Linked DNA regions of Macaca fascicularis. The protein of the gene in region 1 purifies or fractionates together with the protein of each later gene. This does not show direct contact. Links are inferred from orthologs where the notes say so. Each region holds a gene or a part of one and is shown on either strand. Other genes may lie near its edges.

Region 1 (5,333 bases):
CCTACCACCTATTAACTTTATCATTTTTAGACCAAAAGCCAAGCCTGGGAAGGGTCTTCTGCTTTAGAAATCAGCAGATGGGTTTACATGCTCCCTTGGGCTTGATCTCACCTCCGACTCCCTCCCCTGCTTACCGTAGGTCCCAAATTCTGTAGGGCTTGCACCTGGATAGAAGCCTGGGGCTCCTGGCTGCACAGGGTACTGCTGTGTCGGGACAACATATGTGGAACGCCCCTGGTTGGGGAGGGGGAGAGAAGGAGTTGAGGGAGCTATGAGTTCCATATCAGACTCCAAAAAGAATGGAGGTCAAGACAAGACAAGCCAACTCTGGGCAATGATCAGAAGTAAGTCCCACCTCTGGAAAAGGAATGGAACTGGAGGGTCAGGGTGAGGGAAGTGAGAAGTATATGGGTCTGTGGCTTCTAGGCTCCAAGCCCCCAGCCTCACCTGTCCAGGGATGTAGTAGGCCCCCTGGGAGGCTGGGTAGGAGATCTGGGAAGGGATCATCATTACTTGGGATCCAGCAGGGTAGACATGGGCAGCTGGGCCAGGGCGGGCAGGGGCTGCGCTCTGCACTCGGGAGGCTGCACTGCTCGGGGGCTGGGCCCGGCTAGGGTAGAAGTGCTGTCAGGAGGGAGGAAAGCAGTTGGCATTGTAAAGAGGAAGAAGTGGACAAAACATAGCCACTCCACAATGTCTCTATAGCCTGGAAAGTACTGTGGGCTTCAGAACATCGAGACCAATCCTTCCAAGACCACTTGACCAAATGGTTAAGCAGCTTCTTGAACACACACACACCCTCCAAATTCAGATGTACAGTTTGCATCCTGTATAGATTTACTCTCTCACTGCCATGCTTACGCATGTCACCTGTACCAAACTACCCCTCTGCAGAGGCTTCCTAACACCCAGATGCATCATGCCTAAGTAAGGCCCTTTCGGGCAACATACCCCCAGCATGCACTGCTCCACCAGCATGTAATGAGGAGCTAACCATAACATGCAACAGCCTCCCAGTCCCCAGATGCGCCTTCTTCAAGATGTAGCCCCTAACATGCATCACTCGGCGTCCAACTGAGAACCTGGACACCAAACAAGTCACCACCCTGAAGACTCCCATTCCCTGTGTCTAGCCCCTGACTAGGATGGAGGGTAAGGATGAGACCAGGAGACCGTCCAGGGTTAGGAAAGGGGTATTACCTGCAGAGACCTGAATCCTCCCTGAGAGCACATGGGGACAGGAAAGAAGAGAATTATCCCCAAGGTGATGGCGGGGGGAGGGAATGAAGGCAATAGGACAGGACAAGAATCCTCCCACTTAGTAAGGAAGAAGTTGCGGAACAGAGAAAGGCAAGGACCAGCTGAAGTGTTTACCTCACCACAGTCCAAAGAGAAAGCAGAGAGAGCAATAGAGCAATGGCAGCCTCCGGTAAAAGGAGCAAATAGGAAAGCAAGAGTTGGCAGCAGGGCCCAAAGCACTGCCCCCAATTCTTAGATGCACTAGGATCCCAGTAATGCCACCCTCATTGACAATATACTATCCAAGGGACCAGCCACCGTAAGTAATCAACAGGGCAAGGCGCAGAGCCGCATGAAAGAACACAGAGGATTAAGGCCAGGTACGGGGCCTCCAGTTTCCATCTTAGGCCTAAATTGGCCAAAGCTTTCCACTGCTCCCACCCAGAACCCCTACTCCCCTCCCCACAGCCCCTCACCTGGCGGGGCTGAGAAGGCGTGTTCATTTGTGTCGCTTGTGGCGTACTGAACACCACCGGCGCTGTCTGCCCCGGGGGAAACGCTGGCTGAAGAGGGGAGACCAGAGTTCAGCAAGAGGGGAAGCCCAGGTGGGGCAGAAACCCAAGCTGGTGAAATAAGGGGAGCAGATCTGCGGCAAGAGCCTTAACAATCCACATACCCCCTCCCCGTGACAGCCCCCGGGGACAGCCCAGGGGCCCTGTCTCAATTTGGCAGCAGGCGGCTGCACTTTGCCCTGACACAGATGGGGGTAGGAAAATCCAGAGGCTGGAACCTGTTCCTGCCCGACTGCCTGGTCTCCCCCACCCCCACCCCTGCTAATTCCTCCCTAATTACCTGTGGGAGTCCGGGGGATGGGGCGGGTGGGGGGCCTGTGGACTGTGGAGCTTTGTTCATTTCATTTGGTGCCACATCAGGGTCCCCCCAGCACCTGTTGGGAAAGAGTGGCGCTCAGGAAGAGGAAAGGACCCAAGCTTAAGGCAAATGGGGCGGTAGAAGGGTTGATGCAAGGCTGGGTCCCATACGGAGTCCCAGAGATGCCAAGAGGGTGAAGCAGAAAAGATAGAGCCTGTCCCCACCAACATGCTGTCAATCCCACATCACTTCCAACCAACCCCTGGTCTACTCAAACAGTCCCCTCACTCACCCCCTCGATTAAGAATAAGTCCACGGTGCGGCCTACAGGTTCTGGGCATCCGAGGGCCTGGGGTTGGGAGGTGAGGGGTATCAACCTGGCTCCGCGGGGCCCAAGACCAACCAGACCGGAAATTCCAGGTCTCGCTGGCACCAGGCTCCCGGATCACGAACGGAGCTAGCTGCTTCGGCCGTGGTGTCCCCACCCCCCACCCGGGCACACCGGGTTCGGGCCTGGCCCAGGGGCACACAAGATACGCCTGCCGCCAGGGAACCCGCACTGGGCCAGAAGCTAGGCCTGCCGCCGCCCAGGAGTGTAGGCCAGGAAGGGCGGGAGTCAGGCCCTAAAAGGCCAGGCGGGCGGCGGCCGTCGAGGAGCCGGTTTCAGGCAAGTGAGGGTCGGCCCGGAGGGCGGGCGGGGCCGGGGGCTCCTCCCTGCCCGCCGCCACCTCCTCCCTCCCCTGCGCCCTCCTTGCGCAGCGCGGGCCAGTGCCAAAGAACAACGTGTCACTTCCCGGCGGCCCGGCCGCGAAGGGGGGAGGGGGCGGCGGGCCGGGAGCCGTGGTGCCTGCGCCCGTGGGCTGCCGGGCCTCCTCGGGTCAGGCCGAGGTGGCATTTCGCTGCGACGAACCCGGCGCCCTCCCAGCCCGCGGGGCCCGCATAGTCCGGCCCTGCGCTCCCCACCCCCACCCAGCAGCCAGGCCGGGCCGGGCCAGGCACACGTGGGCCGGGGATCGGGGCCCTGGCGGGCCGGGGCCCGGGCTCGGGCCGCGGGGCTAGGGCGCCGGGGCGGCGGCGCAGGGTGGCCGGTCCCGGCCCGGATGGCGGCGGATGCGGGGGGAGGGGGTGGGGGGGCCGGGTCGGGCCCGGACATGGCGGCTTTACCTTCAGTCTCCTTCAGTCCGCGCGGCCGAGCCCCACGCAGCCGCACAGACGTAGTCCACAACCATTTCCGGCTCCCCGCACAGATCCCGCTCGGCGGCCACCGCTTCTCCGCAGGCGCAGCCGGCGCCCCCACGTGACCGGCGCAGGGGGCGGAGCCGCGCCGGGCGCTCTGCGTCGCCGAGCACATGGGATTTGCCCCGCCCCGTCACATGACAGCCACAGCCCGCCCCCGTGTCCCCTCCCGAACTTTGAGACTCCCGGACCGACTCCCCTCTGGGTCTCTGTCTGTTCCGCGATTCTTCAGTTCATTCATACTTTAAGCAACCATTTATTGAGTGCATGCTAAGTACAAGGCGAAGTGCTGGTTGGGGCCTGAGAAACTGAAATTAAAGACTTGGCAAAAAAAAAAAAAGGCGGGCGCAGTGGCTCACGCTTGTAATCCCAGCACTTTTGGAGGCCAAGGTGGGCGGATCACGAGGTCAAGAGATCGAGACCATCCTGGCCAACATGGTGAACCCTCGTCTCCACTAAAAATACAAAAATTACCGGGGCGTGGTGGCGTGTGCCTGTAGTCCCAGCTACTCGGGAGGCTGAGGCAGGAGAATTGCTTGACCCCGGGAAGCAGAGGTTGCAGTGAGCGGAGATTGTGCCACCTCACTCTAGCCTAACCTGGCGACAGGGCGAGACTCCATCTCAAAAAACAAAAGAAAAGAAATTAAAGACTCGGTCTTGCCTAAGTAAATCGTGATACAATACAAATTATGCAGGCTTTGAAAAGAATTTAGATTAGGCCATTGAAAGGGCTATAACAAAGGAAATTAAAAGGATAGAAACATTCTAAATAGGCCAAGTAGTATGAGATTTGTGGTTTAAAAAGATCATGGGCCGGCCGCGGTGGCTCACGCCTGCAATCCCAGCACTTTGGGAAGCCGAGGCCGGCGGATCACGGGGTCAGGAGATCGAGACCATCCTGGCCAACATGGCGAATCCCCCGTCTCTACTAAAATACAAAAAATTAGCCGGGCCTGGTGGCGGGCGCCTGTAGTCCCAGCTACTCAGTAGGCAGAGGCAAAGAATTGCTTGAACCCGGGAGGCGGAGGTTGCAGTGAGCCGAGATTGTGCCACTGCACTCTAACCTGGCGACAGGGTGAGACTCCATATCAAAAAAAAAAAAGAAAAGAAATTAAAGACTCAGTCCTGCCTAAGTAAATCGTGATACAATACGAATTATGCAGGCTTTGAAAATAATTTAGATTAGGTCATTGAAAGGGCTATAACAAAGGAAATTAAAAGGATATAAACATTCTAACTAGGCCAAGTAGTATGAGATTTGTAGTTTAAAAAGATCGTGGGCGGGGCGCGGTGGTTCACGCCTGTAATCCCAGCACTTTGGGAGGCCGAGGTGGGCGGATCACAAGGTCAGAAGATCTAGACCATCCTGGCCAACATGGTGAAACCCCCGTCTCTACTAAAATACAAAAAATTAGCCGGGCCTGGTGGTACACGCCTGTAGTCCTAGCCACTCGGGAGGCAGAGGCAGAGGCAGAGAACTGCTTGAACCCGGGAGAGGGAGGTTGCAGTGAACCAAGATTGCGCCACTGCACTCCAGCCTGGATGACAGTGAGACTCCGCCTCAAAAAATAAAGATAAAAAATAAGGCCAGGCACGCTGGCTCACGCCTGTAATTTCAGCACTTTGGGAGGCCAAGGTGGGCAGATCACCTGAAGTCTGGAGTTCGGGACCACCCTTGCCAACATGGTGAAACCTCATCTCTACACTAAATAGAAAAATCAGCCTGATGTGGTGGCAAGCACCTGTAGTCCCAGCTAGTGGAGAGGCTAAGGCAGGAGAATTGCTTGAACCTGGGAGTTGGAGGCTGCAGTGACCTGAGATCACGACTGCACTCCAGCCTGGGCGACAGAGTGAGACTCTGTTTCAAATAAATAAATAAATAAATAAAATATAAAAAGAGCAGACACTCCCACGGAGGGGCAAAAGCGTAAGGATGGAAGAATAAGGACGGAAGAGAAGTAATCCTAAAACTGACAGCCAGCCAGGGG
Region 2 (5,069 bases), about 85 Mb from region 1:
TTTTAGATTTTTTTAAGAGATGCCTTTGGCAGTTACATCAATTTTAGCAGATGTTCTTATACATGAAAACTATTTTGCCAGTTGTATATAAACAAAAGGCATATCCAACTTGCAGTAATCATTAAAGAGAATGGAGTACCCCACCTGTCTTTGGATACTCCCATGTCAAAACTCACCTCAGAACCACTACTACTTAAAAACGTAGGCCTTCCATATGACAAGACTGGTACCACTAATCATCTTAAATTTTCTGGATATTGTGGACTTTTTAAACCAATCTCATTAGTGGCATATTTACATGGATTTTTAGAGAAAAGGCACTTCCCCTTTAAAGAAATCAGTCTCTTTGGCTGATCTTGGCCACTAGTCTTCATCCACTGACCAGAACAAGCTATAACCCATGTGTGTCCAAACTTGGGCTTTAAAAGCACAACTGTTAGCACCTTGGTTACTTCAGTGGTGACTGGAGTTACTCTGGCTGTTCTCCCAAAGCCTTCCCAACTTTACAGGGTTATCACAACATTAGCTAAGTATGGAACTTAGCTGTGGAACAGAAAGGACTGGGGGGACTGTATGTGTTAGTCTCACCTAGAAACATCTTTAATACTGAACGTTCAATTACCTAGGTAATACCAGCTGAGAAAATTGATGGAGTATTTGCTGCCTGTCAGAGTGGCTCTTTTGACAAACTAGAAGCTGTGGTCAAGGTAAAGTCAGCTTACTAACTTTGGGGAAAGGAATATTAAATGATCATACCAAAAGTTTTTTTTTTAATAGGACTTAATAGATGAGGGTCATGCAGCAACTCAGTTCGTCAGTCAACTCCATGATGTGGTTGTAGAGAATAATTTATCTGATAAACAGAAGTCCATTATTACAGAAAAACTTGCCGTAAGTAGGTACTTTGCACATGTCAATTAAACATTTAACTACCTGAAGGATGCTAATTTCTTAAATTTTTCTTGTAGGAAGTTGACAAATGCCTAGCAGATGGTGCTGATGAACATTTGCAACTCATCAGCCTTTGTGCAACTGTGATGCAGCAATTATCTCAGAATTGTTAAAAAGTGAATATATTTTGATGTGGGGTTTTGTAAATAAGGGGGTTGTAATAAAAATGACCAAAAGCACCTTTAAAGTGAATATACAATTTATTTAACATTCAAACTTCATTAAGACATGTGCAATATGGCAATTTTACTGGGGATTAAACCCTACCTAGGATGATTGCTTGCTGGGGCTTAGCAACAGGGTCCAGTTCACACTTAGCACTAATTAAATACTTTATTGAATAAATACAATACCAAACAAAATGCATTCAAATGCTTTCTAAAAAAATTTTAAAGGCCTTTCTACTCAGGCTAATGACAAACACAATAAAGGCAGATATGCTAGTTTAACATAATTGGCTGATTTTATACAGCACTTATATCTTTTAGTCCACAAGTATATTATTAAATGATAGAGAACATCTAATACAACCATTTCTACAGAACTAGGAAATAAATTTCTAAGAAAGAAAGATTTTACAGACCCCATCTTTTATACCCACCCCAACAGTCTAACTCTAAAGAGGATAAAGCCAATGACTTTCCTCACAAGAGCTCACGACTAATGTCGCTTTGCTATCAAAATCTGTATTTCTGATCCGTTATGAGCATTGAGACAAGATTCAAATATTCCCAAAGAAAGAAGCACAATGCACGTTGTGATCGCCTATTCAGCAACAGCGAGCACTGCATCCAAAACTCTCATCCCAGGAATTAAATAAGGTCAGCCACATTCATGGGCATCTCCTCCACTGTAGTATTGTAGAAAGTCTCAATGTCACGAAGAATCCTCTTGTCTTCTTCAGTAACAAAGTTTATAGCCACACCTTTCCTCCCAAATCGACCCCCTCTGCCAATTCTGTGTAAGAAAAAAACAATCAGAATGTTACTTCTCACATAATTTATGAACTACTGAACATGACGATCCACTTGTTAACCATCAGCTGCTGTTTACTTATCAAGGTTATAGTTCGTGCTTCTAACTGGAGCACTAGCTGCTAATGCATATCTAGAGAAAAAAATCTTCCTTTGCAGTTAGTGCCAAAAGGATTCAAGGCTTGTCTGGCTGCAAAATGAGATTTTTATCAGGCATCTTGAGCATTATTATAAAGCAGATGACAGTATTGTGTTTGGGGTAGTGAAATTAAAGCCCATACCAAAGTGGGCCAGCCAAGAGCAGGTGTCAGCCTGGGACAGATGTAAACACCAGGAATAAAAGAGCAGTTATGTAATCCATTTCGACGCACTTCTGGAACTGTAAACTGTAAACAAATGCTGCAAAGGTTAACTATTTTCTAAAACTTACTTTTTTCCAGTGGGAAAACAAGTTATTTGGTATGGTAACCCAAACTTATCACTGCTTTTTTGCTCAGTTTCACACGTTGTAACTCAAATTACTCAAAACGTGTTTAACCGCCAAACAGCTACCTTCATGTTAGAAACCAGACAATACAAACCACCTAGTAAGAAAAGTTCCCTAACAGAAATACTAATACGAAAGATGCCTCAGCTGGAGCAACTTAAAATAAATAATCATGACAAAAGAAAAACAAATATAAATACCGACTCGCTCTTTATTCAAACAGTGTGCTGTTTCGCTTATGATTCCACGTCCTAAATTACGTCAACGCCGTTTCTGAGTGCCATCTCGTCATCAACTGCTGCTATCGACTCCTGTATTTTTTAAAAAGTCTTTTTTTACATCACATAACAAAGTACGATTCAATTTATTTAGGGATAAAGCCACTATAACTAAACCAGGGTTCACTCAAATTGCTACCAGGCGACACCAAGAAAATCCCAACTATGGAAAAAATCAAGAAAAAGCACATGGACACAAGAACATCACTAAAAGCTCAAGCATAAGCTAAGACCAACAATTGCGGGGGAAAAAAAAACCTATGCCCACAATCTGAGCAATGTTTACAAGTTTTCCCACTTTGTTCTCGTCAGCCTTCCCCTAGTACAAATTTAATTACATCATCTTACTGAACACTACTGACTTGACTGAATCTATTCCTTGATTTGATGTTACCTTTCATACAAATCACAGTAGAAAAATGTATGAATTTTTTTTCAATACATCCAAGATGCTGGCTTCTCACCTGTGAATATAGTTTTCACGATTGGTAGGTAGATCATAATTTATAACCAAAGACACTTGTTGCACATCAATCCCGCGAGCCTGAAACACAATGGCATATGTTAAAAATTCTAATTCAAAAAACATGGTACCTGTCATGTAGGCCACAAAATAGTAGCGAACTATACTAAGTGGTATAGCCCACTGTGGAGTGTGGTCCTTTTACTCTTCCAAATAGCCCAAGCTGGCAAAGGTTACTTAAAAACCTTCCCCCCAAAAAGCTAACTTTTGGTAGATTTTTAAAAAGCATTAAGAGACTTACCAACAAGTCAGTAGTGATCAGAACACGACTTGACCCTGACCGGAATTCCCTCATGATAACATCTCTCTCCTTCTGGTCCATGTCACCATGCTGCAAATTAATAAACCTTAATTCAAGAATCACCAGTCAGGTCAGTAATTTTAATCAACATGTATGAGACCAAGCGTCCCTGGCTGCTACAGGAATATAGCAGACAGGTATAGTTAAGAAACAACTTTATTTTGAGCAGGGGGAACGACAACACAGCACTTAGCAGCTATATTGTAGTCTGAATCCTGCTTTAGTGGAAATCCAGACATTTTAGAACACCTCTTACCAGAGCAGAAACTGTGAAGTCTCTGGCATGCATTTTCTCAGTCAGCCAGTCCACCTTGCGCCTTGTATTGAGAAAAATAACAGCTTGCGTAATGGTCAGTGTCTCGTACAAGTCACAAAGTGTATCCAACTTCCATTCCTATAATGTTTAGAAGAGAAAGTTAACAGTCATTTAGCTTTTCCAACTTTCTTCAGTTAAAAATACATTCTGGGCCAGGCACAGTGCTTATGCCCATAATCCCAGCACTTCGGGATCCCAACACTTGAGCCCAGGAGTTCCAACCAGTTTCCAGATAGTGAAACCCTGTCTCTACCCAAAATACCAAAATTGGCCCCTCTTAGCCAGTCTCAAAACGTAGGGGTCTAATGAGATATTGCACCAAATCTTAAGACAAAGGACATTGGACATTAAGAAAGAGGTCCATCCCAGTCTTTACAATCTAGTGCTGTTACTTTTCTTCTTGTGTGTACTCTGCTAGCATTATTGCAAAAACCAAGACATAGTCCTAGTGTCTGCAATTTTAGCACAGTGCTTATACAAGAAGGTAAAATAATGTCTAACAATCAGTTACCTCTCTCTCAACATTAATATAAAACTGTTTGATTCCTTCAAGGGTCAATTCTTCCTTTTTCACCAGAATTCGAATTGGATCTCTCATGAATTTTTTGGTCACTTCCAACACATCAGTTGGCATTGTGGCAGAAAGCAACACAACCTTGAAAAGAGAAAATTATGTTGTAGAACAACTTACACAGTAATACCCAAGAGAAAATGTTTGAAGCCAAGCGTCTCTGTCTCACTACAGAATGGAGTTAGACAGAGATAGTTATGCATCAAGTGCTTTAAGCAGGGGGAACGACAATAAAACACGTCAGTTGTATTGTAACAGTACCTGCATTAAACCCCATCTGTACCTTTAAGAGGGGAGTGAAGTAATGCTTACCTGAATACTTGTGTTTAGTTTTTGGAAAATCTCATAGATTTGATCCTTAAACCCACGGCTCAACATTTCATCTGCTTCATCCAAAACAAACATTTTGATCCATTTTGGAGCTGTTAGAAACAAAGTCATACTGTCACTTCTAGATCTACTCAGTAATATGATGACTTTTCAACTGTAACAGTAAAAAAAAAAAAAAAAACTCTTTTAAAGACAATACTTACAAAGATATCTTCTGTTTAACATATCAAAAACTCTCCCAGGTGTACCAACAACAATATGTGGTGCTTCGGCCTGCAGTTTTTGCATTTCATTTCGAACATTTGTTCCACCAATGCAGGCATGACAAGTTGCTCCCA

What was found. The genes of interacting proteins can lie anywhere in the genome.
Region 2: the proteins of EIF4G1 (region 1) and EIF4A2 purify together in Homo sapiens (affinity purification with mass spectrometry; 6 studies listed by BioGRID and IntAct, with this or other methods). This does not show direct contact. The link is inferred for Macaca fascicularis from reciprocal best matches to the Homo sapiens genes EIF4G1 and EIF4A2.

The regions. Positions count from the first base shown.
Region 1 is NC_088376.1:96,234,993-96,240,325, reverse strand, and holds the start of EIF4G1 (eukaryotic translation initiation factor 4 gamma 1), read right to left. Parts: upstream 3,405-5,333; 5' UTR 3,274-3,404; intron 2,461-3,273; exon of another isoform or gene 2,402-2,460; intron 2,186-2,401; 5' UTR 2,152-2,185; coding exon 2,092-2,151; intron 1,863-2,091; exon of another isoform or gene 1,803-1,862; coding exon 1,716-1,802; intron 1,222-1,715; coding exon 1,201-1,221; intron 625-1,200; coding exon 448-624; intron 235-447; coding exon 135-234; intron 1-134.
Region 2 is NC_088376.1:11,705,932-11,711,000, forward strand, and holds the end of EIF4A2 (eukaryotic initiation factor 4A-II), read right to left. Parts: coding exon 4,935-5,069; intron 4,824-4,934; coding exon 4,714-4,823; intron 4,669-4,713; exon of another isoform or gene 4,542-4,668; intron 4,486-4,541; coding exon 4,342-4,485; intron 4,317-4,341; exon of another isoform or gene 4,139-4,316; intron 3,909-4,138; coding exon 3,771-3,908; intron 3,736-3,770; exon of another isoform or gene 3,604-3,735; intron 3,545-3,603; coding exon 3,455-3,544; intron 3,428-3,454; exon of another isoform or gene 3,289-3,427; intron 3,235-3,288; coding exon 3,155-3,234; intron 2,724-3,154; exon of another isoform or gene 2,613-2,723; intron 1,909-2,612; coding exon 1,764-1,908; 3' UTR 1,133-1,763; downstream 1-1,132. Other genes in the region: RFC4 (replication factor C subunit 4), read left to right, coding at 627-707, 778-891, 969-1,064. UniProt on the Homo sapiens protein: ATP-dependent RNA helicase which is a subunit of the eIF4F complex involved in cap recognition and is required for mRNA binding to ribosome.